Oreochromis niloticus: one gene and its partners. The main gene of each other region encodes a partner of the protein of the gene in region 4 in a complex. Links are inferred from orthologs where the notes say so. Each region holds a gene or a part of one and is shown on either strand. Other genes may lie near its edges.

Region 1 (7,840 bases), on a different chromosome or scaffold from region 4:
AGTGAAGGAAGTGGAAAGTAAAGCTCTGGGCTCTTTGATGGGGACAAGACTTGGGTTCAGATATGTCAGCTTCGCCTGGGTCAAAATCAGAACCCAAGAGGTCCAGTCCTTCACTTGATGTGTTTTCCACTGAGTGGATAAAAACATCAAGTTCACCACAGAGGATACAAAGGAAAAGGTTACCATTTCTGGAATGTGTTGTGTTCATTTATAGAGCGTGGAAGCCTCAACAATGAATTTTACCTGAAATCCACACACAGAGACTAATACCAGCTCTTTGACTCCCGGCACCCAGTGGAACACAAACAATTAAAGAAATGTCAGATAACAACCAGGGAGAAAAAGACTAACAGACAAAACAGCATTGTAGATTTGTTAGAGAAACTCAGAAGAATTTTCTCCAAGCATGACATTTCAGTGCACTTCAAACCCAGCAACACCCTCAGACAAAAACTGTTGCATCCCAAGGACAAAGCAGCCAAACAAAAGCTTAACAAGCTCGTATACGGTGCAGTGCAGTGAGGAGAGCTCTGATCTCCAAACAGGAGACACCAAACATCCGCTCCACAAAAATATGGCACAACATAGATGAGCAGGACAAGACTCAGCTGTACATCTGCACTAGGACAAAGGTCACGCTTTTGATGATGCCAAAGTTCACATTTTGGGCCGAGAAGGAAGTCTGTTGGAGAGAGGAGTAAAAGAGGCCATCTATGCTTGCTGTGAACGACTATCGTTGAGCAGATATGTGGGCTTACGACACCAGCTCGCATCACAACTCACATGATGAATAGAGGTGTAACGACCCTTAGAATCACCTCCAAAGTAGATAGCCCCTCACTAAGGGTTTATTACCTGGGACTTTCCACCAGTTGTTATAGAACAGAAGCTGCGTCTTTGATGAAAACCTAAAAAACTCCAGCTGCCTTTTTCCCAAGTTCTCGAAATCACCTGGATAACCAAGAACGTACAAACAGAACTAATCTCTAAGTTAAACTAATATTTCAAAGTCACACTGCAGGGCAGCTTATGGCAGCTTATTGATACAATTAATTAAATATTAAGGAAAATGATTGAAAAACATGACTTTACAGCACTGATCAACAATTTCTTACAAATAACCAAAAATTTACTTTTTATCTTCATCATATTTTGACTATGACATCAATAATTCAGCAACTTGTGTAAAAACTGGAACTTTGAATTATTCTCCTGAGCCGAGTTGTTATTTGTCTGAATTTTCACAGCTGACTTAATTTTTTCAATTATCATTATGAGACCAAATTAAGGAAAATTAACAGAACGAACAAAGGTAACAGATTTTAACAAGTGCTAATTTACATTACATGACATGTGGCATTATTTATGCTTAAATTGCCTTCAATTTAGAAGACTGTGTGATCAGAGGTTTGACACAAACGCCCAGAAAGTGTCAGTCATCATAAAATGCTGCAATAAATGGGCAGCTTGCAGTATTCAATGAGAGACAACACTGCACTATTGAATTAATGCAATTATGAAAGTAAGTATGTGGTGTGTGGATTGTACTATGTAGAAGAATGCTAACACAAGCACTGAATTGCTCTGCCTCCTATTCTACTTTTAATTATCCTAGGAACCAAAAGTAAGCCTGCAGTCTGAGAGCGAAGTGCTCTAATGGGGTGCTACAGTACTATGAGGTCTTTAAAGATGTGGCCAGATTATTCAAGACCTTATATGTGAGGAGAAGGATTTTAAAGTGGATTCTGGATTTAACAGGGGGCCGATGAAGAGAAGCCAGTATGGTAGAAATATGCTCCGTCCCTGTTAGGACTCTCACTGCAGCATTTTGGATCAACTGGACTTTAAAGGCTTTTGGGAAAACCTAATAATTATGAACTGCAATAGTCGAGCTTAGAAATAATACATACATGAACTAGTTTTTCAGCATCACTCTGAGACAGAATGTTTCTAATTTTAGAAACTAATTTCCTAATTTCCACCAGTTTGCTATACTGGTTTAAAAAGCACAGCTAAAGCCAGTCTAAATGGCTGGGTTTGGGCACATTTATGACTTACACATAACACAACACTCCTTATGAACTACTGAGGGGCGATGTGCACATTTTCAGGTTAAATAAATCTCTCATTTACAAACATCTTCTTGATTTCGGTCCAGATTTTTGGTCTGGTTTATTCTTTCTGCTTTAATTATTCATGAAATGTGTCTCAAACTTCGCCAGATTCCCTTTGTGGCACACTGAGTTGATTGGGGATAATATAGTGAGGCATACACATGTGCAGATAAAAGTCCTGCAGGCAATCCACGCTGCTTATCGGGGTAATATCAGTGCAATGAAGTCCAAAGAACTCTCTACAGACCTGTGTGGTTAAACTATGGTGAGGCACAGATCAGGCCAAGGGTATAAAATCATTTCTAAAGGTTTGAGTGTTCTGGGGAGAATATGGCCTAAATATTTATGAAATGGAAGACATCTGAAACCATCTGGACCTTTCCGAGAGTAGGCTGCTGGGACAAGCTGAGTAAACAACCAAGTAGAAAGTTGACCAAGAAATCAGCCTGCCAAAAGGATGAGCATCCCAACAGCTCACTGTCAGTCAGTTTTACAGCAGTCAGACAGAAGCAAGTTTTAGCCTCTCAGAAATTGTCAGACTGCATTCAGAGAGTAGTTCATACTTTCCATCCAGTTTGGTAACACTTGAAACGGAGAATGAGATAAGCTATGGAAATCTATTTTTGTTTTCTGAACCTCACTCTATTATTGCATTTCTGTTTTATTTACAGTATGTTAATGAAATCTATGCACTTCACACAGAAAGGCTCCAGCTTTTCAGCTGGCCTGCAGTTTAAAAGCAGGAACCTTCTTGGTGTGGGATGACAGTGGGATAACCATTGCACCACTGTGTGTGGATTCTCTCAGACACACATGTAAGGTTAACAGGTGATTCTAAATTCCCCTCAGGTGTGAGTGTGAGTTATTGCCTTTTTTCTGTTCCTCTCCACGTTGTATCCCACGTCTTAGCTTATGACAGTGGGGATGGGCTTTGGCCTCCCGTGACTCAGAATTGGATGAGTGGTTAAGAAAATGGATGATATGGTTACTGGAACACTGTATCAGATTTCATCCAATGATTCTAACTTTTTGGATGCTTGAGAAGTTCTTTTGAGGGGGTATTCAGTTCAGTTTAACCCAGATGCCATTTCCCATAATGGGATAACTATGAGTGGCATCAGTGGCTCGTGCTATTTCCTCACAGTAAGATGGCTCTGAGATTGAGCCCTCCTGAGGATTTTATTTGTACAGAGTTTCCATGTTCTTAAACTGTGACTAAGTGGGTTTTCTCCAGGTGCTCTGGTTTCCCCTCACAGTCCAAAAACATGCCTGTTAGGTTAGTCGATTATTCGAAATTGTCCAGGAGACTTGTGTGCATGTGACTGGTAATTTAAAGCACACTGGGTGATTATTAAGCAAGAGAACTGCTGTATAAATGTCAGTCCATTTCAATAGTATTGACGTCCTACTCATACAACAAGTCAACTGATTGTATAAATACTGTATGGCTTATGGTGTAACAACTAAATTAATGTTAGCTGGTACTGATTAAAAAATAATGCCATTTAGCAAATGTCCCCCCAAGTGACAGCAAAATTACCTGAAATAGTTTCACAATTAAAGCAAATATTTTGGTGTTTAGGATGAAAGGAAGGAAGGATCCATGCAAGTGCTTTTTCCCACTATCGCTGAATAAATATGGCCACAAACCTGTGTAAGTGTATTCTTTATTTTTTTTGTTAAAGCTTTTCCCTTTAATAAGGAAAAATAAGGACATTTGGTACAAAAATAAGGACCAGATTCACAAGCGCTTGTTAAGTACAGCCTTTAAGCTGTTTATGAACACAAATATCTAATCAACCAATTGCATGGCAGCAGTTCAATACATTTAAGCCTACTGGAAATAATTGGTGGAGCTGTGGTGAGACGTATTTAACCACGCATGGGGTACAAGTTATTTCTGTAAGCTAATAACCAAGCTGATAACATCACAACCTATTTGGGATTTTATGAAGTCACATTTTAATAGAAATTTGATACATAAAACAGGTAGTTGGGAAAAATATGTTGGGGGGGGGAAAAGTCCTTGTTTCCAGACCTCAGTTCTCATTTTAAAAATAACAAAGCTCCTTTTCTTAAATAACGAGATTTGTTTTCTCAAATGAAGTTGTAAAGCACTTTGTCAAGCTGAAGTTTTTTTTCTTTCTTTGAACTTTACTGTAAGTTGAAGATGCAGAACATAAAGTTCAATACTTATAAAGAATACTACAATTAAATTCAAGGGAAAAATGTCAGGAGAAGAAAGAAAACCAAAACCATAATAACTTCTTTTTCTTAATTCCAAAGCACCTTTTCCTAAACAGTGGGATTTGTCCCTCCAAAGGAAGCAGCAAAGCAAACCACCTTGTCAAGCTGAAGTAATCTGGTGATAGAGCAACATACGGGAAAAAGTCATAAAAATTATATGTAAGAAATACTAATTTCGATTCAAGAAAAAAAAAAAAACATTGACAAAAAATGGCCATTATCATTTAAATAAAGTATTTACAAAATCGTAAATGCTTTTTGAAGGGAAAAAAAAGGTTTTGCGCTGGTAAATGTACACTTACGCTAAAACTGCAAGTATTACAAAGACTTCAGTTACAACCTTTCATTAGTTACAACCTTCGTGCAAGGACAGCTCAAAGCCACTTTGTCGTGCAGGTTTCAAAGGCTTCAGGCTGACGTGAGTACGTGTGTTTATATTTTGGTGAGTGACGCCAGGAACAACAGCTGTGACGTTTCACGACAGCTTCGCCGCCCCAACAGTGCATTCTGGGTTCAACCCAAGATGGCTGCGCCCTTGCAGAAGTGCTGAAGAAGTGCCTCTTCGGAGAAATTCTCGGAATTATTTGAGATTTCCTCGAAGACTGTCGCTCGGAGCCGACTACCAGGGCCGCTGGTACGTAGAAGGAGTCCACGCGAGCCCAGTCATTGATAAGTGCGGCCGGCGTTACGTGTGGCTGTGGCAGACTGTCCGTGTGAAGATGGGCCTCGCCTGCAGCCCCTTCCCATAGCGAAGAGCCGTGGGGAGAGGAGCCGCAGATTCCCCTGCAAACACGCGCCCGTGCAGCTCGGATTTGACGGCTTTGACTTACTCTACAGGCTCTGGACGCTGCCCTACAATTTGCTGACCAGGATTGTGTGTGCGACCGTGTCTGTCATTGTCCGGAGAAGGAGAGCTTCCACAGCCCGGGCTGATAATCCCACCGCACCAAGGTCTGCATCTGCACGCTTCGCTGACACTCTCCGTGCCTTATCTGCACATCTGCTCGGTCCTCTTATCTCTGTCACGCGTGTGTGGTTTCAGAGCCTCGCTTTAAAAAGGCTTTAAGTGAATATTACCGGCCTCGGTGCAGTCTGACACCTGACAGCAGCAGAGCTGTTACATTAGCCGCGCTAGTTTAGCTTAGCTAGCTGGACTGGACTGAGCCTGCTGCTCGCCAGCATCCGTGCAGACAAGTTTAACACAGCTGGGCCGTTTTAGCACGAATGCAGAGGCACTAAAGATAAAACCCATCGACCTCCTCTGCCGTGGCTCCAGCTGTAGAGCTGAAACACCTCTGCAGCTGTTGCTTTACTACAGAGTCAGGCAGCTAGCCTGTTAAAATAAAGTGGAGGAAGCCAGATGTGAGTGTGTTTGGTTTCAGTTGCTGTTGTGGGTTTCATTCAAACAGGATTCACAGCATCAGATTCACACGGCATAAAAATGACTCATAACCACCATCCCATGACTTAAAGGGCATAAAGTGGAAAAGTCAGCAGCCAGTGTTGATAATCAGATTATTATCTGAGTGTAGAAACAGCCTGCTTAGTATAGCCCGTAACAACAGTACAAGAAGGGATGGACCTGTTGTTACTGTATGGGACAGTAGCAGTCTGATGATGACCGAGCCTTTGGGGGGCTTTTGGTGTACCCATTGTTTACAACTGGAGATAGATTTTTCAATCCAAGTTACAGAATGGACAGTGCAGAGGTCAGCAAACAGCAACAACTGTTTGAATGTGCCGGCCGGCCCTGGTCCACACAGCGTGTGGAGATTGTATGTTGTTCTTGTGCCTACATGGGTTTCTTTTGGGTACTCTGGCTTCTTCCCACAATGCTTGTGAGGTGTGTTTGTGATTATAAATTGGCTGTGTTAGACCTGCTTTCTAATGCCAGCTTGGATAAGCCCTGGCCCTCACCAATCCTGTATAGGAAGGATTTAAGAGGACGGATCTTTATCAGATGATGGGTGATCCATATTGACAAAGTGGACTTTGGCCCAAAAGAAATGGCTTGTATTTGTGGTGGTAGCATGGCCAAGAGGGACAAACATGTCCAAGAACGTACAAACAGGGACGGCTGCCTCTGAGGTCAGGTCTTCATCCTGTAGGACTTCAACAGCTGCACCGAGAGACCTGTGGATCTAAGTCATGATTGTTAATTTTTTTTATACTAGTGCTAAGATAATATAATCAAATGTTTTATTTTTATAACCAAAAAAGGAAGCAAAAGTTCTCTTACATGTTGTTTAAACACTGAAGATGTTTGAATGAATAAATTTATCTAAATCTGGATCCAAGTCTCGAGCTCTCTGAACAGGCCTACTGCAGTTATCTGACAGCGCGCTTTTATTGCTGTTTAAATTTTCCTATGAATATCTCAGTTGGTAACCAAAAATGTATTTAGGGATGCTTACATCTGTTGTGTATATATTCTGTTTTTACTGTGTTTATATATTATTTATCTTCCATTACTTAATAAAATAGCTGCACAGTATGTTTTGATTAGCAAATTTAGCACATTTGGCTGCATCTGGACTGGAAATTTCTCCAAATTTAAGATTTAAGTTTTTTAATTATTTATTTTTTAGACTAGTGTCAGTATTGACTATATGCAGTAATTAAATGGCTAAAGTGAGCCTACAAATCTTTTTGTGGATACCCAGTAGCTACAGCTAAAGACACTTCAAAATCCAACCAGTGACATTAACATGAGCGCTCTCCCAGCAGGGCCCTGATGAAAATGGACTCAGACTTGCTTCATTCACCGGCCGTGGGCCTCGCTGAGGAAGAGGAGGCCGATATGAATGACTGGAAACTTCCCTTGGCCTTCATGAAGAAGAGGCACTCAGAGAAGATTGAGGGCTCCAAGGCCCTGGCGCAGAGCTGGCGGATGAAGGACAGGGTAATTTCTCTTCTCATCCATGTCCAGGAGTAATTCAAGAGCCTGAGGATGTTTCCTGTGTGAGCTCTGCTTTGAGGTCACAGAGGCTGTTTTTCCTTTTATCTCAGCTCATAGAGACTTGTATAGCTGCATTTTCATGCTCATATATCTGATGGGACTGTGTTAGTTTTAAGCTGGAACCAATAAAACAGGAAATCTAAGATTGTTGATTTAATTTAATGAGTTTTGATGCTTTAGATACAGCTTTAGAAATGTTCAACACTGTTATTTTAAAACGATAAATATTATAGTATGGTTTTTCCCCTCTAATCAGCAGTTCCCACAAAAAGATCAAACTCTGATACCATCTTTCATGTAACGTATTGATTGAACATTGATTTTTATCCTAGAAGGATTTCTTGTGGTTTGTAACTACAGCAGAAAATTCCTGCTTTATAGGACAGGGTGGGTCAAATGGTTATCCACGGGGCCAGTTCTCAAAAATTCAACTCATTAAAAAGACAAATCAAACTCCTTGATGCTACACGCTGTGCTTCAAGAGCTTATCAGTCTTTAAACAGCAGCAAATCACTGGCTA
Region 2 (7,714 bases), on a different chromosome or scaffold from region 4:
GGTTCAACTTTCTCACCACCAGATGTTGGTGGAAGTTTTGACTGCTAACCTAGCCCACCTTCCACTCAGACAGAGCAGCCCAGAGGAGCACCGCCGACCTCACAAGCGCTGCGAGCTGCAGCAGCAGGAGCAGCATATGAATCATGTTCTATATGAAGCTTAAAGACATGCTCTCGCAGCCCAGAGTGAGGCAGGTGAACTCAGCTCGCCATATGGCTTAGAGGGAGCTTATTAGGCTCTGAGGCAAAAAACACATTATCCACAGTGGACCAAGGCCACCTAGGGATGATTTCCATTATGAAAGCCTTTAATTCTGTTGGTATGAGTAGGAGAAAAGGGGGGGAGAGAAAAGTAATACTTTAGCAGAGGAGCTGCACTCTGGCCGCTTGGCTCGTGCAGGGATGGATGACTGGCAGCGAAGGTGAAGTGTGATTAATTATCTGAGCGCACTTATGTAAGTTATTACATTGTAGATACAAACAAATGACTCCCTGCTCGACCTAACTCCTCTCCTCTCTCTCTCTCATCGCATTATTACTCAAAATAATTCCACATATTAAACTGACCCCGTGATAAAACAAGAAAAGCAAAACATCAACATCAGGCATTTATAACACAAACAGAGAATGAACACCATCCAGCCAGACAGTGATTTGTTGACTCTGTTGCACTGTTTTCCCCTCACTATGTTACTTATTTACACTTTTTTATGGCACTTATTATTGTTGTGCTTTTCAACTGGCTGAATCATTTTCCCTCCTGCCAAGCCTCATTATAAACCTTATATCCAGAAACTACTTTTTTTTTTTTTTTTTTTTTGTAAACGTGGAGCTAAATCTGCTTCACCATATCAACACTGTATCCATAGTGACCCCTTGAGGTTCAATGCTGGAACTACAGTCAGACTGAACGCAGTTAGACAAATTTGGTGTTTTGCATCTTAGCAGATAAGGCGCATGTGCCACCGACCCATTTAAGTGTCTCTGTGGCCATAGAGTTAACTTAACTCCACTATAATTGTATTTAAAATTTGAACCTACAATATGTCAGAATCTCTCTACTTTTCAAAATGCCTTCAAACTCCCTGGCTCTCTATCATATCTAATAATTTTGGTAAATGATAGATGGGCTGGTTCTTACATAGCTTTTCTACTCTGCTTGAGCAATTCAATCAGTTTAGTTCAGTTTTATTCATATAGTCTCAAATTACAACAATAGTACCCTCAAACAAGCACTTGGCAACAGTGGGAAGGAAAAACTCCCTTTTTTTAATAGGAAGAAACCTGCAGCAGAACCAGGCTCAAGGAGTGGTGGTCATCTGCCACAAGCAGTTGGGCTTGAGGGAAGGACAGAGGATACACTGTGGAAGAGAGCCAGGGATTAATAATAACTAACAAGCACTCATACGCACTTTATACAAGCTTTCTCTCTAACATTCACACTCCAGTGAACGCTTAGGGAGCGACTCAGGGTTCACCATCATGACCAAAGATGCTTTGGGAGTGCATACTAGAGCAGCCAGTGATCCAACCACCAACCTTTTAATTAGCAGATGACCTGCTGTACCTCTCTCTCGCCCTATAGTAGGTAGGACAGGCTCCAGCCCTCAAGTGAGCTTGAATTACATGAGTGGAAGATAACAGACGGACGGACTGCTCTACCTCCTGAGCCACAGCCACCCCCAAAACAATCAAAAACTGTACCTTTATTTTGCAAATAAACTCAATGCTCTGGCTCTCATTCCATGTTTGGAAACTCTTGGAACTCCAAGTAAGCCTGCAGTCTTAGAGTGAAGTGCTCTGTTGGGATAGTAGATTTTTTTGTGTTAACTAATGTGAAAGAAAGCATCCCATATGACATCCTTTGAAAAAAAATTAAGATAGCTGAAAACTAGTCTGATGAAAGAAGCAAAAATTCAGTTAGTTGAGCGTCTGCTCCAGTCTTTATGCTTTGAGTTGTACTCTCAATAAAACCAACAAAAAAGGAACTTCCTTCTAAAACTCGTCAGAATGTACTTGTTCCCAGAAACAAAGGCTTTTCTCTGTAGGAAACTGTCAAAAAAGGGAAAAAAAAATCACACAATAGTGTGTTCTACTCCCTCTAGGAGAACAAGTGTAAACTTGCTCCAGTTCAGACTCAAACGGAAAATGTTAGACCCTGGAACGAAACCTGAGCAGGAGGACAAGCATATATTAATCTCTAGTTTAGGAAACAGACATCTCACAGGTCCCCGGCTGTCACCTTTATTAAATAACACCTGTACGAGCCGGTTCGCGCTGTTCTGTAAGGGAATATAACGCACAGTTGAATGACATCTTCCATTTTTCAGCAATTTCCAGCATCGAAAAGCTTTTATTTCTTAAAACAAGAACACTCTGACAAGTTCAGAAAAAAGGTTTTTGAGGATATAACTGAGCTCACAAAGGCTTCACTGAGTAGTGCACCTTGTAATACGACTAAGTGGCATTGCACACTATGCCACTGCTGTGTAGCCATTATAGGATGGTAGTGGATCCTGAAAATGGGCCTTTAAGCTTATGTAGCTCTTACATTCAAAATAATGAAAATAAGTAATTAATCAATCATTGTTTGCAGCATTTCTAATCAATTTCATGTCATATTAGACAAAAAAAAATAGAAAAGAAAAGAAAAGAGGCGACATTCAAAGACAAAGCTGACAGAACAAGTGTTAGAGGGAGTTTAACTAAGGACACATTTCTGCAAATATTACTGCAGGATTATATTGTTTGTAATCTCCGTGCTGAGGGGCACATCTAAAAGAATGTGTATCACTTGTCTCTATAACCTGTAGATGTGAAGAGCTCTCAGGAGCTGCATCAAATTAAATTCCTCCCTCGCTTGATATGTGAGCTCATTTAAGCTTCTCGCTCTGCTTGTGCAAAAAAATCAAATAAATAAATAATTTTAAAAAACATGCTTTATCGCGAAGCAACGCGCCAGACGTGAACCCAAACTTCCTGCAATAAAAGTTTCATCCACACACTTCTGAACTCTTAAAGAAAAGATTATTGAATAATGCGAAAAATAAACCGTATCTGAGGATGAAAAACAGAGAGTGGCCAAGTGAGACCTGCACATGACAGATATTCAGGATGCCACCTGTAAAATAAAATAAAAAAATTTAAAAAAAACACACTGTATCAGGAGGCAAGTAAGATCAATTATTCTAGATTTTCCCCCCCTTTTTATAGATTTCCTTTCTTTTTCTTTATGCCAATTTATCTCTGCAGTTTGCGCTATTGTAACAATCCTTCCCTCCCGGGCAATAAAGGAGAAGCAATGAGACCTGAGAGATTTCCTCTAAAGAGATAATTATCCCTCTCCTCTTCCTTGTGAGCTTTTCATCCAGTGTCCCTCTTGTTGCCAGGAAACCAACCAGGGTAAAGACTCTGCGCAACCCTGCTCTCCAGCTGAATGTAGCGGTGGCAAATCGTTAACATCTCGCTGCTTTTCGAGGCTGTTGATAAACAGGAGATAGCGAGGACAGTTACGGGACACATGTGAGGCCTTTTGAAGCTGCGCTCTCACTGTCGGTGAAGGTGATTTCGAGGCCTACGGCAGGGTGTAATAGATGAGGTCGGCGTGTTCGCTCTGAGAGAGACATCACAAACACGAGAGGGGGGTCTTTGCTGTAAGTCGTCTACATCTAAGTCCTTATGTGGGATAACCCTGTGCCTGGTTGGGAAGTGTGTAGTTAGACCGAAAGCACCTACAAGATAAAGACCATAACCGGAACATATCAAATGTTCTTTACTTGTGGCCATTCTTATCTCGTTTACATTGCTGCACTCATCTTAATTATATTAGTTTAACCTGTGAAACGTGAACACATAAGATAAGGAGGACCAGTCTTCCAAAAAACAGAACACTCCTCATTTGATGTTTTCATGGCGAGTGCTGTCCAACCATCGATGGCCAGCCATGAAAGACCACAGTATGAAATATACATCATTTTCATACTTATCAAACTGGTCATCCTGGAATGAAAGAACACTTCCATCATTACAGGATAACAGGGACCATTCAGAACAACTTTACATTGACTTGTAGTGGCCATTCTCTCTACAGGGACAGGTGACCTGAACCATGCCGGTAAAATGCTCCCAGGAGCATAACACTGTAATGAGACAGCAGGAAGAGCAGTTGTTGTCTTTAAAGTAGCCAATATGGATACAGATAAACAGATAAAGGAAACCTGTTTCCCACAAGCCTACATTTAGTGGCTCCAGCTATTCGGGGGGAGATACTTTGAAAATGGAACATAAATGACATCAACCCCCCTGAAAAAAAAATACGGAGGAAGAAGAGTCGCAATGCACAGGAAGTTTAAGTAGGATATTCAATAGATGTGTTGCTCTGTAGACTGTGATGCACCTCTTCCACTGCAGACGGTCAAAACATAAAAAAAGAAATGCTTAACACGCCCAAAGAAACTATGCATGCAGGACGTGATCTGTGTGCATTCTCTTGTTAATGTTATTATTGGAGGAGACACAGTTTGTTCTCGGTGTAACTGCATATATTAGATAAGTGCTTTAGTTATCTTGATAGAAGTCAGGGGCACGTGTGTAACTGCTGTCATATCTATTGGACAGCTAGTTGTCCACTAGGCGGCGGTATACACATCAGACAGTTAATTCAATATAGCGCTATATAATATATATATTAATATATATGATGATAATATAAGCGATACAAATGTATCTTATATTTCTTCATTAAACTTTTATTCCGCGTTCACGGTAAAATGTGTAGAAACGCATGTCTTATCGTGCACTCGCAATAAAGGTCATCCGGGAAAAAAGTAAAAATACATTTAAAAATAGAATTTAAAAATTTTCATTGTAATTTTGTATTAAAACGTCAGAATTTGCGGTTTTATATTGCGCACGGAGGTCAAAGTTCACTAGTTCGCCTCTCAAAATGGCGGCTGAGCCCACACGGGAATGGAGCGATGAGCAGCTCAAAAGTGATGATTTGCCCAAAAAAGACATAATAAAGTTCCTGCAGGACAATGCGGCCCACTCGGTATGTTTCTCCCTTTAGTCTCCTCGGGATTCCGGTTGGGATATCTGCTGGTTACCGGTTTGAATTCTCACTGTGAAGTGCAGCATGCAGCATGGCTAGCTCCGATGGGATGCTGTGCTTCAGCTCAGCACAACAGAGCACAATGTTGAGCACTATCTGCACATTAATACGAATAGAAACAGCTTCTCTTAGGGTTTGACCTGTGCAGCTCTTCGTGGCTTGAGCGCAAGCGAGTTGAACTTTCTCCTTCTGTTCGCTTGTTGTTATTTCAGTTCCTCAACGAGCACAAGCTGCTCGGAAACATCAAAAATGTTGCCAAAACTGCAAAGAAAGAGCAACTGATTATCGCCTACGATCAGCTCTTCGAGAGTAAAGTAAGTCACGATTATCACCCGCCTCGATGATGAACCTTGATAATGAACATAAAATGTGTAAACGTGTGATTTGCAGAGGTTTAAAGGCACAGAAGCAGTGGAAGAAGTGACCGAGAAGGTTAAAGCTGTGAAAGTCGAAGAAAAACCCAAAGAAGTCAAGACAGAAGTTGTGGATGAGGTACTGGTGCACACCATCAGATATCAACTTTTTTACATCATCATTCATATAAAAAAGGAAAACATGACATTCTGTAATTTATTTTGTCCATCCGCTTATCCCACATGGGGATAAGTGCATTATAACCCAGTGCAATACAGTCCATGATACTGATGCTCAACGTTGGTTAATGGAGGAGGGGGGGGGCGGGGTGCAGATTTTGGTTCTGTAGATTGTGGTTGCTGGAGTGAATATAAAGTTCAGGGGTACTCATGAAGACTCAGAAATGCTGTAAAAATAATGTAAATTGGGAAATATTTTCAATATAAAGGTAAACAGTTTCATTGTATACTAAAGTCATTGTACAAAAAGCCGATTCTGATGAGCACCCAGCGATTATTCACATTTATTGACCACTGCTTCATTACTTCTCTCAGGGTCCTCCAAAGTACACCAAATCAGTGCTGAAGAAAGGCGACAAGACAAACTTCCCAAAGAAGGGCGACACTGTGAGCTGCTGGTACACCGGAACCTTAGAGGATGGGACTGTTTTTGACACCAATGTTCCCACAGGTATGACTGTGCCACACCCTTAAGGTGATGCTCTGTCACTAGTCGTGCTTTTGCATTACCAGAAAATGTTAAACTAAGTAATTTGTACTTCTTAGTTATGTAGATCAAATCTCTATGTAGCTATGAAGAATCTGTCCTTGTTCTCTTCAATCTACAGCGGCGAGAAAGAAGAAACAGGCCAAACCACTCAGCTTCAAAGTCGGCTTGGGCAAAGTCATCAGAGGAGTAAGTTGCTCTGCTGTTGTCATTTAGTTTCTTAACTTTTTTTTTTCTATGTCTAATGTCTGTAATCATCACAGTGGGATGAGGCCTTACTGACAATGAGCAAGGGTGAAACGGCTCGATTGGAGATTGAGCCTGAATGGGCTTACGGAAAGAAAGGCCTCCCAGAGTCCAAGTATCCTTTTTTTCCCCCTCTTTGGTATTTTGTACTTTGTGTGCATTTTTCATAAATATCTCCATATTTCTAAAGGGATGTGATGAAACTACATGAGCTTTCTGCACATAAGGTCAGAGCTCAGGTTCTAATGTGGCTTGATTCTTGTTTATAACTGTCCTCCTCCTTTATTGTTTTACGCTAATGTAATTAAATGAAAGCCAAATTTCCTTAACTCCACGTCTACCAGAATTCCACCCAACGCAAAGCTGATTTTTGAGGTTGAGCTGGTGTCTGTGGATTAGCCCAAAGCATGCACTACATTTCAAGAATTCACACTTAAAGGCCTTGAGGTAGAGGGGGACATCAGCATGCGTCTTGGATTGCAATATTCCTGGGATGCCTTTGCTTTAGTATAACATTACACATATACCAACTGGATTTAAAAAAAAAAAAAAAAAAGTTTGATTTGGACAAAGTGGAATGGCTTGTTAATAATGTACATACAAGAGACTGTGAAATGTTATCTTTTTGTTCTTTTGCATGTACAATGTCAGAAATAAATCATTTTCCCCAAATTATATAGGTGTTCATTTCAGTTAACCGGTCACGGTACAGATGACACCGGTCTACATCGTGTTCTTTAGCCTGAAATCAATTGTATTAAGAGAACTAGTTCGTGTGGTGTAGGAGGTACTAAGACCTCCCAGTACAGTTTTATGCCAACTACTAATTGTTCCTGGAAGATTTGAATAAGTTATAAATACAAGATGATTCAGTAGGAATATACCCATAAGGTGCAAGACTAGTCTAAATATGCAGGGAAATAAAAACTAAGGTATTACATGTACAGTGATGCACGTCTTTAGGGTCTAAGCATCCAGTGTTTGCACACAGGAGGAGCTGGTTTAGCCTCAAAGCTAAATTTACCAATTTTAGCTTGCATTAATCCCTAGAGACAGAATGAAGTTTGGCTCAAATACAGGACAATTGTCTTTATTAAGAAACTGCAAAGATTATTTGTTAAAGATTTAGATTTACATTGCAGGACAAATCACTCATCTAGACCAAGTCAAAATTGTTTTTATTTTGTACAGGATGACATTTAACTTGGTAAAAACTGACAGGTGATGATGCCGTTTCTCCTTTGGGGCAGTGAACCACTTAGGAGTTGGCATTGGGTCC
Region 3 (7,921 bases), on a different chromosome or scaffold from region 4:
ACAATGTAGTGTACATTCAAAATAACCACACTAATCTAAATAATGACAATCATCAGGCCTCTGTTCTCTTCAAACTCTGTAAATATCAACTTACTTGGTACTCGGCTGATTAGTCTCATTGGCTTGATGGCATGAGACGCTTCTACGTGGAGATTAAAGAATCCAAACGTATAATCCATTAGCCTGAGGTGGCAGTTACAGACACAAACAAGAAGGTGAGTTTTACTTTCTTTCATTCATAAAAATAAGCGTGCCTTCCAATAATCTAAAACTGCATCTTTTTGGAATTCCTCTGCAAAGGTTTTTAAACTGAAACTAAATTCTAGAGACACATAGATACAGACACATGGATGCTAACTCTGCAAAGATGATGAAAAGGTCAAACTTGTTCCAGTGGCTGCTCAGGTAGCTTCCTTTATGGCCGATGAATCCCAGGGCTATTGTCTTAATGAGCGTTTCCATGATGAAGTAAAGAAAGACGAGAGAACCCAAAATCTGTATACAGAGAACGAAAAACATCATCATATCAAATATCAAAACATACAAGGCATACTGTTAACATACAATCACTGGTAATAACAGCAGTAGCACAGATATAACATACTATATCCAGATGCTGCATCTGAGCTTGTAAGGGGCCTGAGGGTCTGGTTATGGGCTCTGATCCATTCCTACAAGATTTTACTGTTTAATGTGACTTATTGCAATAAGTTACCTCCTCTTTAAGATGACATATTGTTAAGTGACTGTTCTGACAAAGTTAATGCTGACTTATGTCAGGTTAAGAAAAAAGAGATGACCATTTTAATTAAAGTCATTCAACAGAAATAGGTGAAAATTAAATACATGTATGTTATTCAAAATTCTCTCTTTCTGTGTTAAATCTGTTTTTGGCCACAAATAAGACAAACCAACAAATCCTTTAAATGATGTGAGTAATCCTGTCAGTTTTTAAAGAAGAACATTTAAAAAGCAGCTGCAGAATTGAAATATTAAGTGTAGGACTAACACTGTTAGTATCATATATGGTACAAAAACTCACATTTTAAACTTAAAACATGTCCTTGACAAAGCACTTTGGGATTTTTCATCGTGAAGCCAAGAATCAAGATTACACTAGAACATTATAGGACTAACAAATGAGAGCGTTTACGAAGTGTGTTATAAACTACAGCTTATTGTTAGTCCTTAAAGGGACAGTTCGCATGTTGTACATCTGTATACTTTCTGTTGGGCCTGTTGTGCCATCTTCATCTAAATTGCTATGATTTGAAGTTCAGCTGTAGAAATATTAGCAGAATATTCATGATTCCCGAAATTATGGCCCTCCCCTGAAAAACATCAACAAATTGTGTTATAAATAGTTCATTTAAGGACTATTTTTTTTCTACAGAACTAGAACCGCCAGCCAAAGATGATGAAAATGAAGATGCATAATTTTTTCTGCACAGTGATAAGCACTTCTAGTCTGCTAGTCTCTTCTTCTGATGCTCAGCTCATTATAATAACCTCTCGGGTGAAGCTCTCCTCTTTCGCCTCTACACAAGGCTGGTACATGCCGTCATTCACGCAGCTGAGCAGGACCACCAGTATGGACAAATAATCCAACCATGTAGAAGAAGAGGTTAAGGTCCAAACACATTCATAAAATTTATCAGCAACAAAGGAAGCTTTCGTACTAAAAGTGTTTAATGTGGACATATTGAGTGGTATACAAGAAAAAAAACCTATAAAAAATTTTAAAAAAAGGTTTGAAATTGTGTTAATGACATTCTTACTTCATTCAGTACAGAAAGGATATGGGCCAGAGACTATTTTGAGGAACCATTTGCGGGGTCTACTCGTCTGCTTTAGTCCGAAGCACACAGGCACTACCTCTGGGAAGGGAAGCTGCTCCTCTACAACGACGCCTCTATGTCTATCATGGATTTCATGCATAATGAAACCAGAAACGCATCTGAGAGAGGTCAGGAAAAAGGGGCAAAGAAAACCATGATATACAGATCTATTTGGAGAAACAACTTCCTTTTCTTGCATAAAAAAGTTAAGCAGTCCCACACTAATAGAGTTGGCTATATATGGATTTTTTCTGTTAAATGTTTGGATACATTTCATTACACCTGTTCAACTGCTCCTTAAGTCAAATACCTAATCAGAGAATCACATGGCAGCAATTCAGTGCATTTAGTCATGCAAGCATGGTCAAAAATAACTGCTGAAATTTAAACTGATCATCATAACAGAGAACAAAGGGGAATTTAAGTGACTTTGAATGTGGCTAATTGTTGACCCTAGAGGAGCAGGTCTGAGTATTTCAGAAACTGTTGCTCTCAAACATATCTGCAATCAGTTTCTGTTAAAGTGACTTTTATATATCATCCAGGTAAAAACTTCCATCCATCCATTCGCTTCCGCTTATCCAGTGGCCAAAAGGATCTGTATTGATTATAATGTAGAATACAGAGTAGATAAAATAGCGCACAGCCATTTGCAAGGATCCTTGCAAAACAGGTTAATCAGTCAGAATCAGAATCAGTATATTTTATTAATCCCTAAGGAAATTATGTGGGTTACATTTGCTCCAATACAGTAACAGAAACAGACTAGACTATTTAACAATACAATATGTCGCAGATTTACAAATTTAAGAAACAGCACAATATATACAAATCACTCAATAATAAATATCAAGGATTGACAGAGGTGATTATAAATAAATATCAAGAATGTTGACAGGAATATTATTGAGAAGAAAAGAGCATGTGCAAAAAGGGTGTAACTATTACAGTGTTTACAGTGTGTTAGATGGAGAATTAATTAATTATATTAATAATTGGAAATATAACAAAAACAGAACCAATGAGTTAGGAAAGCTGTCAAATAAAGGTAAACAAAAGAAAATTATTGTAATTCTCACTGAAATGAATTGACAACTTTTCACTGTTTTAAGTTGTAGTCCGGAAGAGCAGTGACTCAACACATTAACGTTGAGTGTACCTTATTTAGGCAACATGCTAATGTTTTAGTGACTTCGCATTAGCCTAAAGCTACAGTCATTGGAGGCTACATGATGGGGCTGTTAGCATGACACTGTCATAAACATGAATAGGCGGCACACAATCATAAACTCTCCATTTGTTTTCTACTTATGAAAGTTTGGTTGGATTAGCTAACTGGTTTTGGATAAAAGAGTTGCGTATGGCATTAGCTAGCTAACTAACTAGCCTCTTTTAGATAATAACTATAGGCACTGGAGACAGAAATATTTAACAGTTTGCAAACATGTTATCCTCAGGTTCAGCAGACAGAAGTAAACATACAAAAGTAAAACTTGGAAAACCATTTCCTAATTTAGCTCAATCAATCAATCAGTCAAAAGAAAATCCAACAATGCTTTGAGGACATTTCTGTACCTAATTATGCTACTACAATTTATTTTAAAGAAATTTAAAACCACTTTATTACACTTAACTCTGAAAATGTTCATTTTTACATTTTCGAAAATACTCAAGTTACATTTTTCCCCCAAACAGACTCACAGGTTTCTGATTGTAAATTCTCCTCTTCACCTTGACTTTGGCCAATCAAAGGTAAATGAGCCAAACTCTGATGTGAAGCTGTAACCAACAGCAACCATCCTGAAACCGGATGTTGACGATGAAGAGCAAACTGTTTTATTAAACAGTAATTTCATCCCTTTAAGTTTTTTTATTCTTAAAATTTATCTTATAATATTTTAATGTGGGCCCAAGAAACTATTGATAGCGGGTGTGTTGAAGCTAATATTTTAATCATTAAGTTCTGGCCGAAAAGGTGGAGACTGAAGCTTAAGCACAGCACCTAGACTTTTTGTACAAAATGTTGCTTAACTGGCAACACTTTTCTAACCTGATCTGCCCCAAAGAAACACCAAAAAATGACACAAAATTAGGAATAAATACTAAACTAGGACAAAAACAAATAGTAATCATATTGATTGTGCCTCATGTTTATTTTTTTTAATCACCTGAGTTTTTATGTTGTTGTTTTATGTTGTTTTTTTTAGATAATGATCAATCTTAATTCAATCTTTATAATTTTATATTTTGTACATCAGTGCATTTCAGACAGTAGATCATATATGAAACTATTAGGGGACAATATACCATGATGATTTTTGATTTATGATGTCTTTAGTTTTATATCATTTTGCAATAGTTTTTGTTTCATTTTTGTTTTTACATTGTTAATAATGAGTCTTCCATAACTGTCAAGTTGATACTAGATGTGTTTAATACCTGTTAGAACTAGTGTTGATCGTGGTACTGAGTACAGTATTTGTGAGGTTTTTCTGAGCGGTTCTAGAAACTGGTTGTACAGACAGAGGATGATGTCACGAGGTTGGAGTGTAATTTTTTATATACCGAAAAAAAAACCCCTTATTAGTTAAGCAACAATACTGTATCCATATTGGCACGTTTCTATACATCCAGCTATGTTTCTATGTTTCTATTCAACCCTTGCCATTTGAAATGTACGAAAAGTTTAGTAGTACTTAGAATAACACAGGCTACAGTGATAGAAGCGATCATCTTAAATCCTATTGACTCAATGGCATTTTTCAACTTTCTATTATTTACTTTCTTTTACTTTGGTACTGACTATTAGGACTGAGATATCGCCATATTGACACAAGCAACTTTTCAGACGATGCTAATAAAGCTGAAATTAAAAGATGTTGCAATATTACATAATGAAATACGATTAGTCTTAATTAATATTATGAATTATTGGTATACACTTCTTTGAAAATCATTGTATTTAATTGCAGCATGTCTATTCCTCGTGGACACACCAGCAGAGGGCGGTACTGATCTAGTGATTGAACCGGAACTCTTGAAACACTATTATGTTTCTAAGGGACGCGTTAAGGAGACGTACTTCTTGGCTGGCTTCAACACTAACAACAACAAAGGGGAACTAAAGAAATTTGTCCTTTTAAAACGGTAGTACTGCTGTGTAGTTATAGGTAAGGGGTCTAATGGTTTCATACTAGAAGCGTTTATTGTTTATTGCATAGACTATAAGTTTGGCTAGCCTCTCTTGCTAAAGTTAGCTTATGATACGTTCACAGTTTAACCCTTTTTTGTGCTTTAGCTGTGTTTTGTGTTTTACTTTAATTGTTGCAAATTGAATTTCCCTGCAGTATCCGCCAGGAGTTCGTCATGAATGTGAATCAGGGGACGGTGGGCAGCGACCCGGTCATTCTGGCCACGGCTGGATACGACCACACTGTCCGCTTCTGGCAGGCCCACAGCGGGATCTGCACCAGGACGGTCCAGCACCAGGACTCAGTATCCTTACCCTGATATATGGAGGCTTACGCAGAATGTGTACTGTCATGTTTGAATAATTATAGGTTATGACCATTTATAAATCTCAGGTTTAAAGTTCAAAGTTAATCAGATGTTGTCTATGGGGGGGGGGGGGTTCTCTTCAAGGCAACAAAAGAAAACAAGCTTCTCACAAAAATCCACGTGAACGCAAAAAGTGCTTTTGTTTTAGTTCTGTGTTTTCTATTTGTTTATAGATGTTCTATAAACCCTTTAGGGTTCGCTGAAGTGGGTAATTGCCTTCATCTCACACTCTTTTGTCACACCAACCCTCTGCATGTCCTTCTTCACTACATCCAAGAATCTCTTCTGTGGTCATACTGTTTTCCTCCTGCCTGGCAGCTCCATATTCACACTTCACAGGTCTCATTTACACTGTCTCTCCTCTGCATAGGTCCAGACCATCTCAGCCTTGCCTCTAACCTGTCTCCAAACCACTCTCTTTACTCCGAATGAATCTTGAAATCTTCATTTCTGCCACATCCAGCTCTGTCCCGTATCTTTTTGTCACTGTCACCGTCACCAAACCACACATCATAGCAGGTGTCACTTCCATCTTACAAACCTTCCCTTTCATTCTTGCTGCTATCCTTCTGACACTCATCCCCACATTCTCCAGTCTGCCTGCTCACTCTTGTCACCTCTCTTGTGGACTATCTTGACTGTTACGCCTGTCTCTCTCTCATGACTTTCATTCCTCCTCTCTCCAGACACTCTTCCACCTGGTGCCTGCTTTCACTACAGATCAAAATCTTGTCTGTGAACATCATAGTCCACAGAGACTCCTTTCTGATGTCATCTGTCCACCTGACAGTACCCTGACCTTACCTAGCAGTTTAAATTTGATGAGCTGTAAAATATAGCAGCAACCTACATTGTCCACTTCCTTAACATTTACTCTCAGCAAGTAAATTCACTCGAGGTCACACCTGACAGAAGTATGATTGCAGCCGCAGGTTGGTTACAATTTTCCCCACAATCCTTTTTCTCATTTCTCACCTTAATGTTACTTTGCTTCATAGTAATGTTTGCATTCTGCTTTCAAGGTTATCAGCATATCCGCATGTACGACTTGAACTCCAACAACCCCAACCCGGTCATCAACTACGATGGAGTTAGCAAGAACATCACGTCTGTGGGCTTCCACGAAGATGGACGCTGGATGTACACAGGAGGAGAGGACTGCATGGCTCGCATATGGGACCTGAGGTACTGAAGGACAAGCTCACTGGTCTTTGTTTATTTAATGATCAGCAAACTAAACTCTGATCCCTGCTCTACCTTGTAGGTCAAGAAATCTGCAGTGTCAGAGGATCTTCCAAGTAAACGCTCCAATCAACTGTGTGTGCTTGCATCCTAACCAGGTGAGACACTCAGTACACACAGATGAATCAGGTGAGGCTGTGCTCTTGGTTACTATCTGGAGCATTTGCACTTAATGCCGAAGATTTCATTATGTTTTTTTAGGCAGAGCTTATAGTTGGAGACCAGAGTGGAGTGATCCATATCTGGGATCTGAAGACAGACCATAATGAGCAGCTGATTCCAGAGCCGGAGGTCTCAATCAACTCAGTTCACATTGACCCAGATGCGAGTTACATGGCAGCAGTCAACAGCTCGGTCAGATGCTTAAAAAAATCTGCAGCATATGTGGCGCAGGTTAATAAATTCACTGTTTTATATCGTGTTATATTATTGAAAACCTTTTTTTTTTTTTTTTGCCCGGCTCTCTTTTAAAGGGAAACTGTTACGTGTGGAACCTCGCTGGAGGCATCGGGGATGAAGTGACTCAGCTCATTCCCAAAACCAAGATCCCTGCGCACAAACGCTATTCCCTCCGCTGCAAGTTCAGCCCCGATTCCACGTGAGTGAACCTTTTTCTCCAATTTCCCCCTCATTTCCCCACCAAAAATACAACTTGACATTTTGCATTCGTCGTCGCCTCCAGGCTGCTGGCCACCTGCTCGGCAGACCAGACGTGTAAGATCTGGAGGACGTCCAATTTCTCACTGATGACAGAGCTCAGCATCAAGAGCAATAATCCGGGAGAAACATCCAGAGGCTGGATGTGGGACTGCGCCTTCTCCGGAGACTCGCAGTATATTGTTACAGGTCCATACAGCAGCACACTGCAACAGATCTCAAAACTGAATAAGAATTGTTCAAGTAAAACACTGCAATCTATCTGAGGGCTGCAGATTTGAAATGTGGCTGTTTGTAAGATAAAAAGGACATCTCATTTTCTGATTTTGTCTTGATTTGTCACACTAACCCCTGCCCTGCCATTACATCTGCCATGATGTAAAAGGGGTTTAAAAATGAAACATGGCTTTAAGTTTGCTCTCAGATTATGATAACTTTTAGACACTTCCATGTAAGGCTGGACATTGCTTTGTTTTAATTCTATTTTTTCACTCACTCCACAGCCTCCTCAGATAACCTGGCTCGCCTGTGGTGCGTGGAAACTGGTGAGATCAAAAGGGAATACAGCGGCCACCAGAAGGCCGTGGTGTGTCTGGCCTTTAATGACAGCGTGCTCGGCTGAGAAG
Region 4 (7,198 bases):
CATTAGTTTGTTACGGGACCTCTCCATCCATCTGCTCCTGCTCCCGCCCAGCTCCCGCTCATTTATGCAGAGTGGCCACAATTTACAGAAGGCCATTTTGTCTAATGGATACCATTCATTCATTCCCAGTGTGCTCTTTGGCAGGCGCTCACCAGAGTGCATTAGGAAATTAGTCCACTGCGAACGCGGACGCCATTGGAGATGAACGGCAAGATCAAAACCTGTCTGACTCCCGGTGATTCAGTCACTGCCATAGAGCTGATTTTGTATTCTGTGTCTGTCGGCTATACTTCAGTTGCTCCATCGGTAATGACACCATTTTGATGTGAAATTGGCTACTCGGATTCACTATTAGAGAACTGTGCCATCTTCCCTCTGTTTGACATATTGAATCCCACCGTAATAAAATGATTACCAAAGAACAAGACACAGGCCTGTAGTGGATATGATGAGTAATGCCTTTATGTAAACACTAATACTATTTTCAGCCAACGGCACCAGCAAACACTGTTATACCTCCTGATTAAGGACTTTTTGATGTACAGGAACTCAATGTCAAAGAGGATCCTCATTTCCATAAGCTGGTTTTAGGTTTCCCCTGCAATGTGATTCATGGATTAGCAATAGTGTTTGATCTATATGACTTGGCAGGGGAAGGAAACTTGATCAATAGACTGACTCTGTGGGTGTATGTGTAGCTGCCCTTCAGGGAGCTGAGCAGTGTGCCAGAAGACAAACTAAGCACTGTGACAAGAAAGTGCAGCGTCATCATGGATTTCTCCTCTGTAGACTCTATTTGATCTAAAATGCCTGTCAGGTTTCATTAGGTAATTGCCCTCTACATTGTCTCTGAGCTACTTTGCACTTTTTTTTCATCTGCTCAGCTTTGCTGATTCAGTTCAGAATCATTTAAATCTCCTGCAGTGACTAAATTTAGACCTACCTGTATTCATCAAAAGGACACGATAGATACTGATCTAAAGATTTAGAGATCTCTAATTCTTTGCTTTTCTAGTAAGAAGTTAAGTCTATCAGCACAGAGTGCTGTTTGTATTGTTTTTGCTTGACTGCCATATTGCTCCATCATAGCTTTGCTGGGCTTTACAGTGCTTTCACACACAATGGGAAGAGCAAAACCCCTATCCCTATGTTGGAATTAATGCTTTGTGGTTATCCAGGTGTCTCCCTCTAACACAGGCATAATAGGTAGTGAAGGTATCAAAAAATGTGTTGCCCAGGCAGGTGGGTAAGATATAACACATTCAGACCAGGATATAGTGTTGGGCTGCAGCCAGGTAGGGGATAAGAGCTGCCTCTAGCATTTAGAACCAGATGTTACCTCATGAATTCTTGTCCAGGAATCTGTGACTCATACTACACCGCCCAACCACACAAAAAAACGGCAACAAAAAAAAACGCAACAAAAAACCCCCAGAGAACTTGTGGATACTGCAAAAAGAAAAGGGAAAGAATATGGAGAAGTGGTGGGGGATAAATCATGAAGCATTTGACAGGGGGAGGGAAGGATGAAGGTGGGAAGGATTAACAGATGGATAGATGGCAGATGAATAAGGTAGGTGGAGGAGCTAGTGCAGAAGCGAGTGCTTTTTTCCCCCTTCCCCTCCTGACTCTCTCCATCCTTCAGTGTAAATGGAATGACAGGCTTCATCGTGGGGGAAATATTTCAAAAGTGCGGCTGAGTGAAGAGGCAAAGCAGAAAATAAACAGGATGGATGGCAGACGAATCAAAGCCTTGGACTGATGAAAGTGCACCCAATATCCTGTCTGTCACTTAGCAGAGGAGGCCGGCTGCTTGTTAGGACAAGAGCCTCTGCAGCTGTGAGTGTACATACATTTGTGGCGCTGAAGTGGGTTTATATGTGCGTGTTGAAGTCAACTGACTGCATGTATGTGGGTTTTTTAATACCATTTAAGCACCATCCAAGTCTTTTTTCCCCTCTGTCTCACGCACAAGAACTTTTCAGTGAAAGCACATGTTTGACACAAAGGTGAGTCTTCCCGATTGAATGAGTTGGTGTCTGATGGGTGAAATATGTCTGGCCCAGCTACACCTACGATAGGGAGGGAGGAGGGCCTTGGGTAGAAAAGTAGGAATCTGTTCCTCTTTCCTGTGTTGTTAAAAGCTTCATTTTCTCCACGTAAAGCGCTGTAAGGCTGTAAAAGCTCTCTTTCTGGTTCTCCTCCCATTGCAAAACCACAAACCCATAGCTGCATTTACACAGCATTTACACATTAACACGCACATTTGTATTTGCACCACACATTTGCACATACATGATGCACGCATGCTCACAGAAGTTGCAGCTCTGCCGATTACAGCAATAAACTGATCAGTGTTTGATTTACTTCATGTGCCACAGGACCTCAAATGCATTTAATTTGGCACAAGAAAAATGTGCAAGAAGGACTATGACAAATGGTTATTCCAAAGCAAATGATGATCCATCTTCACTATTATGATCCATCTATTAGAATGAAAGTAAGAAGTGGTTGTTTCATTTAGTAAACCTGAAGAGATCCTGTTAAAGTGTGGCATTGCTCTTCATATTAAGTGATGATCTTTTTTCTTTTAAAGCTGTTAAAGAGAAACTTTTCAACTATGGTTGTAATTCCAAATGAAAGGTTCACTGTCAGTAATGACTGAAATTAATTCAGCATTTCAAAATGACAGGATGGCTCACAGTGATACTGACTGATCCAGTGCTCTCAGTTCTACTGTTATAATCCATTATAAATGTGTGGGTTTTATGGGTGTTTTTCTCTGTCATTACACAAACTTGCTACTGCTGTTTTTCTGAACTTGAAAAAATGCAGGTGTCTCCTTGCATGTTTTAATGCCAGGTGTGCAATAGCTGCACACGTGTATGCTGAAATACATAAAGTAAAAACTCCAGGATCAGTCCGATTGTTTTGCAGGTGTAAAATTCATTGATAAGTTAGAAGAATTGGTGATTGTGTTGGATGATGGGACCTCCTGACACCTCTAAAGGAACACCCTTGGGCCCCAAACCCCAGGGTGGGAACAATGGGCATACAGTACATTGTTTGCTAGTGAGAAATTATCTCCTATAATGATCTCATGGGGAGAAAGACAGTAGCTGTGGTTCATTTTGATGATGAAAATTCATTTGACATTTAGGCTCCAATTTCCTACAAGTGGGAAATAAGAGGGTACTCGCTTAATTGGTGTGCTGCACTATGGTAAATGTCACCGCTCATGTAGAACCACGTAGAGCCAGACATGTTTCTTTAATACTGCAAGGTGTCTGTATGCCTGGTCAATGTCTCCCCCAAGAGGCTGTAAGTTGAACAGCAAAATAAAAAACAGCCACACAGGGCTGCTGCACGCAGTGGACGCTTTTTGTACACTTATTATTATCTGCATTTAAAGTGTATTTTCATTCATGTCCTGAGGAGATCAAAGCTGTATAGTCTGTGTACCTCTTGTTTCTAGAAATTCTAATATGCTTATACTGTATATCTTATTAAATTATCTAAATTCTCAGCAGTATTGGGCCCATTTCCTCCACCAGATCAAAAGCTGAAAACAACAACAACAACAAAAAAAAAACCAAACAAAAAAACTCCCTGACATGACAAGTATGGAGACAGTTAAGGGAAAATATTCCCTGCTGTTTTAGTATTCAAGAAAAAAAAGAAAGAAAAAATATATAGACTACAGATAGTTCAAAACTTATATATATAAAAAACAAATGTATGAAAGGCCTCCATTATGGAGCTATAAATGTTCTTACAAGGCTGCTTTGTACTTATTGTTGTTGAACCAAAGCGACTATCATTAATGTTATTAAGTAGCTACACCATGAGACTAAGTCTGCCTGTAGTGCTCCAGATTAATGACATTTAATGACATTTAGTCAGGGGAAGAGCACAAACTATAAGTGTAGATTGTTAAATTATAAGTAACATTCGTCCACCATAATTTTAAAGGTTTACTGGAGTAAAAATGTTGAGGTAACTGGAGTACTGGGCCTCAAAAAACATTCACATAAAAAGACGAGAGGCTCTCGAAACTACACTCAAGGACGTGTGAGTTGCGCTCAGCTCAGCGCAGACTGCGCAACTTGACGCTTGTGAAGTTCCGTGTGTGTATCGCTAACTCGAGCTAATTCATCAGCTAGCCAACCTTGCGCAGTGTTGGCCAGGTAGACGTACAATGAGAGATATTCCGGATAAATCGAATAGCAGTTAAGTGTTCGGCATTGTAATACAAACACGTAAGTGATACAAAGCGACTTTGCCTCCTTGCTATTGGGTTGTCACGGGAAATAGGTTAACATTAGCACTAGCTTGAGCTAATCAAAACAAGCACGAAACACTCACGAGGCTCCGGTTTCACCTATTACACCGCAACTACACGGGCGTGTCCGCTTTTGTATTAGTTGTGTTAAGAAGTATGATGTATGTTTCCTAATAACTAGCAAGCTTTGCAGCTTGTTTTATTAGCTAACCAGGCACGTTAGCTAGCTGGGACCAATGTCAGTTAATAACATTAACCTGGTGTTTTATCAGATTAGCACTTGCATTCCTTCTTTCCATGTGTACTGTTTACCTTGTTGTTGTTTTTAGATACTGGTTGTTTAATAACCCGGAATGTTGCATTGAAACCACATATGTCGCCCTCCCCCATGCAGATTAGGCCGTCCAAATGGTGGTCATATCAGGCACAGCCACTGTGCTGCAGCAGTTTGTCAGTGGACTGAAGAGTCGAAATGAAGACACTCGAGCAAAATCTGCCAAAGACCTGCAGCACTATGTGACTACAGAACTCAGAGAGGTAACAGCAATAACCTATATGTGCATAATTGAAAGCTGTCATGGGAAAACCACTTAGTATACTGGATACTTAATCAAGATTGTTGCCCACTACAGTTGGAGAGTTTCACAAGTCATATGGTACAAATTCATGTAAACAATTCCTTCCTTTTTCCATACTTGCTGTTTTGACACTTGTCCCACAGTTAAGCCAAGATGAAGCTACTACGTTCTACGATGAGTTGAACCACCACATATTTGAGCTGGTGTCCAGCTCTGATGTGAATGAAAAGAAAGGAGGGATTCTTGCCATAGGTAAGCATTAATAAAAGGTTGTTAAAATTGTTATATTTTTAAGCGCTGTTAATTTTGGACTTATTTAAGATCTCTTATTTTCTATCACTTTAAAATGATTATTGTTTTCATCAGTGAGTCTAATTGGAGTTGAAGGAGGCAATGCCACCAGGATCAGTCGATTCGCCAACTACCTCCGCAACCTGCTCCCTTCCAGCGACCCCGTGGTGATGGAGATGGCCTCTAAAGCTATGGGCCACCTTTCTATGGCGGGGGACACCTTTACAGCTGAGTATGTGGAGTTTGAAGTGAAGAGAGCTCTGGAATGGTTGGGAGCCGACAGAAATGAAGGGAGACGCCATGCTGCAGTAAGTCACTAGCAGACAACAGTCACTGTGGTGTTTGCTGTTCAAATAAAACCACATATTGGTGGTGTTTACATGTGCTGGAAATGTGGGCACGTTGGGAGCTGTAATAACTTTATCTATTGCTGTAGTGAAGGCAGTGTTGAAAGTTGCTCTAGTGTATTTTGGGTTGAAGGCACAAGTAGTACTTCATATGCACTCTCATACCCCAAATATCAGCACATTCTTGTTCTGTTTTCCCTGCTAAAATGTTTCCTTTATAAATCTGCTCATGCCCTTGTAACCGTTTCATTAATATTTTCCTCCTTGATGGTTGCATCAAGCAGTTGTTGTTACATAGCTGTTGTTATGCAGCTGCATGTGGTTTAAAGGTCTAAAATATGTGGCCTCTGCTCTCTGGCTACAACTTGCTTGTGGTGTTGGAGTGAGCTGGAGAGTAGTGAAGCTTCCTAAAACATATTTTTAAAAATTTTCTCAATGCCTACATTCTGAAGTGCACAAACATGTTTACACCTCCGCACAACGCAGTGTTCAAGGTGCACCTTTGCTAGATTATGTGTGCATGCAACCAGGGTGAATCCTTCATCCTCTTCACTGTGGCCTCTTTGCTCTGTTCTGTGTGCGTGTGGGTGGGTGTCGCCCAGCTGTGGCATCAGCAAAACCTCCCAGGAGAGAAGCTTGATGAGATGTTGATGCAACCCGGTCACTATGTTTTTATAGAGTACCGACCCCAGACACTGTTATTATTGGCTGGGGCATCACACGCACAGTCCAGAACAATCCTGAACATAGAAATAATTAGAAATCAGAGAATGTGCTTGCCTTTGCTGTGTTTTATTTAGCTTATTATGCAATTACCATTTTCACATTTTTACTGGCTGTAGAATATTAAATCTAGTTACTTTCCCCAGAATGTCCACATGATGTTGTTGGGAAATAACTATAAAAGAGCACGGAGATATGGAAAAGGGAGATGAAAACCAAATTGGCAATAAAAAAACTAAAATTCATGGTTGAGCTGCAATCAGTGCCAGAAACAAAGAACACAACAAATCCATCCATCCATTCGCTTCCGCTTATCCTTTTTAGGGTTGCGGGGGGCGATTGAGCCTATCCCAGCTGTCATAGGGCAAGAGGCGGGGTACATCCTGGACAGGTAGCCAGTCACAGGGCTAACACACAGGGACAGACAACCATTCGCACTTACATTCACTCCTATGGACAATTTAGATTTTTCAATTAACCTATCCCCACAAAGTGCATGTCTTTGGACTGTGGGAGGAAGTCGGAGTACCTGGGGAAAACCCACGCAAACACGGGGAGAACATGTAAACTCCACACAGAAAGCCTGATGGTGGAATTGAACTCAGGACCTTCTTGCTGTGAGGCAACAGTGCTACCGTACTGTCCACACAACAAATCCTACAAGCTAAAAAATTTAAGTGATCAAAATGCACTAAGCATGGGTAAACGGTCAGAAGAACACACATAGGATTGGTTGTGTAAAGAGATCAGTGATTTCACTCCCAAGTTGAATGTGTTCCAGCAGTAAAATTGAAAAAGTAAAGAAAAACAGGATCTTTTTTGCTCCTTAGCAAGATGGAGCCATTCATGTATCAGTAGGAACACAGTGTGGTCAGTGCTCTAATTATTTAATGAGTCACAAATACATTGCAGTGGCAGTACAGGTGACAACATTTACAGTTTTACTATCGTTTAAGTGCACTGTCGCTGTCTTTGAT

What was found.
Region 1: the proteins of mtor (region 4) and rptor are in contact, whole or in part, in a cryo-EM structure (PDB 6BCU), measured with the Homo sapiens proteins. The link is inferred for Oreochromis niloticus from reciprocal best matches to the Homo sapiens genes MTOR and RPTOR. Residues at the interface, in NP_001373429.1 of Homo sapiens: His597, Thr600, Pro632, Val644, Ser645, Gln646, Thr647, Ala648, Val649, Ala653, His686, Ala688, Gln689, Glu691, Met721, Asn722, Pro723, Ala724, Phe725, Met727, Pro728, Phe729, Arg731, Lys732, Leu734, Ile735, Leu738, Thr739, His743, Tyr771; in NP_065812.1 of Homo sapiens: Phe278, Lys282, Cys283, Ser285, Leu286, Pro288, Gln380, Ala381, Asp383, Leu384, Asp387, Glu411, Gln412, Thr414, Ala415, Val418, Trp419, Thr421, Met422, Arg427, Asn428, Glu431, Gln432, Lys973, Ile974, Asp979, Leu980, Glu981, Ser982, Lys986.
Region 2: the proteins of mtor (region 4) and fkbp3 are in contact, whole or in part, in a crystal structure (PDB 5GPG), measured with the Homo sapiens proteins. The link is inferred for Oreochromis niloticus from reciprocal best matches to the Homo sapiens genes MTOR and FKBP3. Residues at the interface, in NP_001373429.1 of Homo sapiens: Glu2032, Tyr2038, Phe2039, Gly2040, Arg2042, Tyr2088, Val2094, Leu2097, Tyr2105, His2106, Arg2109; in NP_002004.1 of Homo sapiens: Lys160, Pro161, Leu162, Ser163, Lys170, Tyr198, Lys201, Gly202, Gln203, Pro204, Asp205, Ala206.
Region 3: the proteins of mtor (region 4) and mlst8 are in contact, whole or in part, in a crystal structure (PDB 4JSV), measured with the Homo sapiens proteins. The link is inferred for Oreochromis niloticus from reciprocal best matches to the Homo sapiens genes MTOR and MLST8. Residues at the interface, in NP_001373429.1 of Homo sapiens: Leu2269, Arg2270, Met2271, Ala2272, Pro2273, Asp2274, His2277, Leu2278, Thr2279, Leu2280, Met2281, Gln2282, Val2284, Glu2285, Val2286, Glu2288, His2289, Asn2292, Asn2293, Glu2536; in NP_001186102.1 of Homo sapiens: Tyr20, His22, Asp42, Ser43, Gln44, Val45, Asn46, Tyr62, Asn87, Glu105, Gln148, Thr174, Arg221, Tyr222, Leu224, Ser268, Arg270, Gly271, Trp272, Trp274, Ser290, Lys313, Val316.

The regions. Positions count from the first base shown.
Region 1 is NC_031971.2:37,769,287-37,777,126, forward strand, and holds the start of rptor (regulatory-associated protein of mTOR), read left to right. Parts: upstream 1-4,556; 5' UTR 4,557-5,312; intron 5,313-7,085; 5' UTR 7,086-7,095; coding exon 7,096-7,263; intron 7,264-7,840. UniProt on the Homo sapiens protein: Component of the mechanistic target of rapamycin complex 1 (mTORC1), an evolutionarily conserved central nutrient sensor that stimulates anabolic reactions and macromolecule biosynthesis to promote cellular biomass generation and growth.
Region 2 is NC_031980.2:4,842,981-4,850,694, reverse strand, and holds fkbp3 (peptidyl-prolyl cis-trans isomerase FKBP3), read left to right. Parts: upstream 1-4,892; 5' UTR 4,893-4,944; coding exon 4,945-5,049; intron 5,050-5,321; coding exon 5,322-5,423; intron 5,424-5,499; coding exon 5,500-5,601; intron 5,602-6,017; coding exon 6,018-6,153; intron 6,154-6,310; coding exon 6,311-6,378; intron 6,379-6,452; coding exon 6,453-6,550; intron 6,551-6,779; coding exon 6,780-6,834; 3' UTR 6,835-7,107; downstream 7,108-7,714. Other genes in the region: faua (FAU ubiquitin like and ribosomal protein S30 fusion a), read right to left, coding at 7,694-7,714. UniProt on the Homo sapiens protein: FK506- and rapamycin-binding proteins (FKBPs) constitute a family of receptors for the two immunosuppressants which inhibit T-cell proliferation by arresting two distinct cytoplasmic signal transmission pathways. PPIases accelerate the folding of proteins.
Region 3 is NC_031973.2:21,211,594-21,219,514, forward strand, and holds the start of mlst8 (target of rapamycin complex subunit lst8), read left to right. Parts: upstream 1-4,863; 5' UTR 4,864-5,008; intron 5,009-5,185; 5' UTR 5,186-5,204; coding exon 5,205-5,333; intron 5,334-6,276; coding exon 6,277-6,328; intron 6,329-6,418; coding exon 6,419-6,581; intron 6,582-6,660; coding exon 6,661-6,736; intron 6,737-6,839; coding exon 6,840-6,992; intron 6,993-7,111; coding exon 7,112-7,236; intron 7,237-7,320; coding exon 7,321-7,484; intron 7,485-7,798; coding exon 7,799-7,917; 3' UTR 7,918-7,921. Other genes in the region: voltage-dependent T-type calcium channel subunit alpha-1H, read right to left, coding at 95-183, 359-495, 1,510-1,612, 1,802-1,938.
Region 4 is NC_031984.2:28,353,216-28,360,413, forward strand, and holds the start of mtor (serine/threonine-protein kinase mTOR), read left to right. Parts: upstream 1-4,086; 5' UTR 4,087-4,229; exon of another isoform or gene 4,230-4,259; intron 4,260-4,676; 5' UTR 4,677-4,690; coding exon 4,691-4,819; intron 4,820-5,003; coding exon 5,004-5,112; intron 5,113-5,226; coding exon 5,227-5,459; intron 5,460-7,198. UniProt on the Homo sapiens protein: Serine/threonine protein kinase which is a central regulator of cellular metabolism, growth and survival in response to hormones, growth factors, nutrients, energy and stress signals.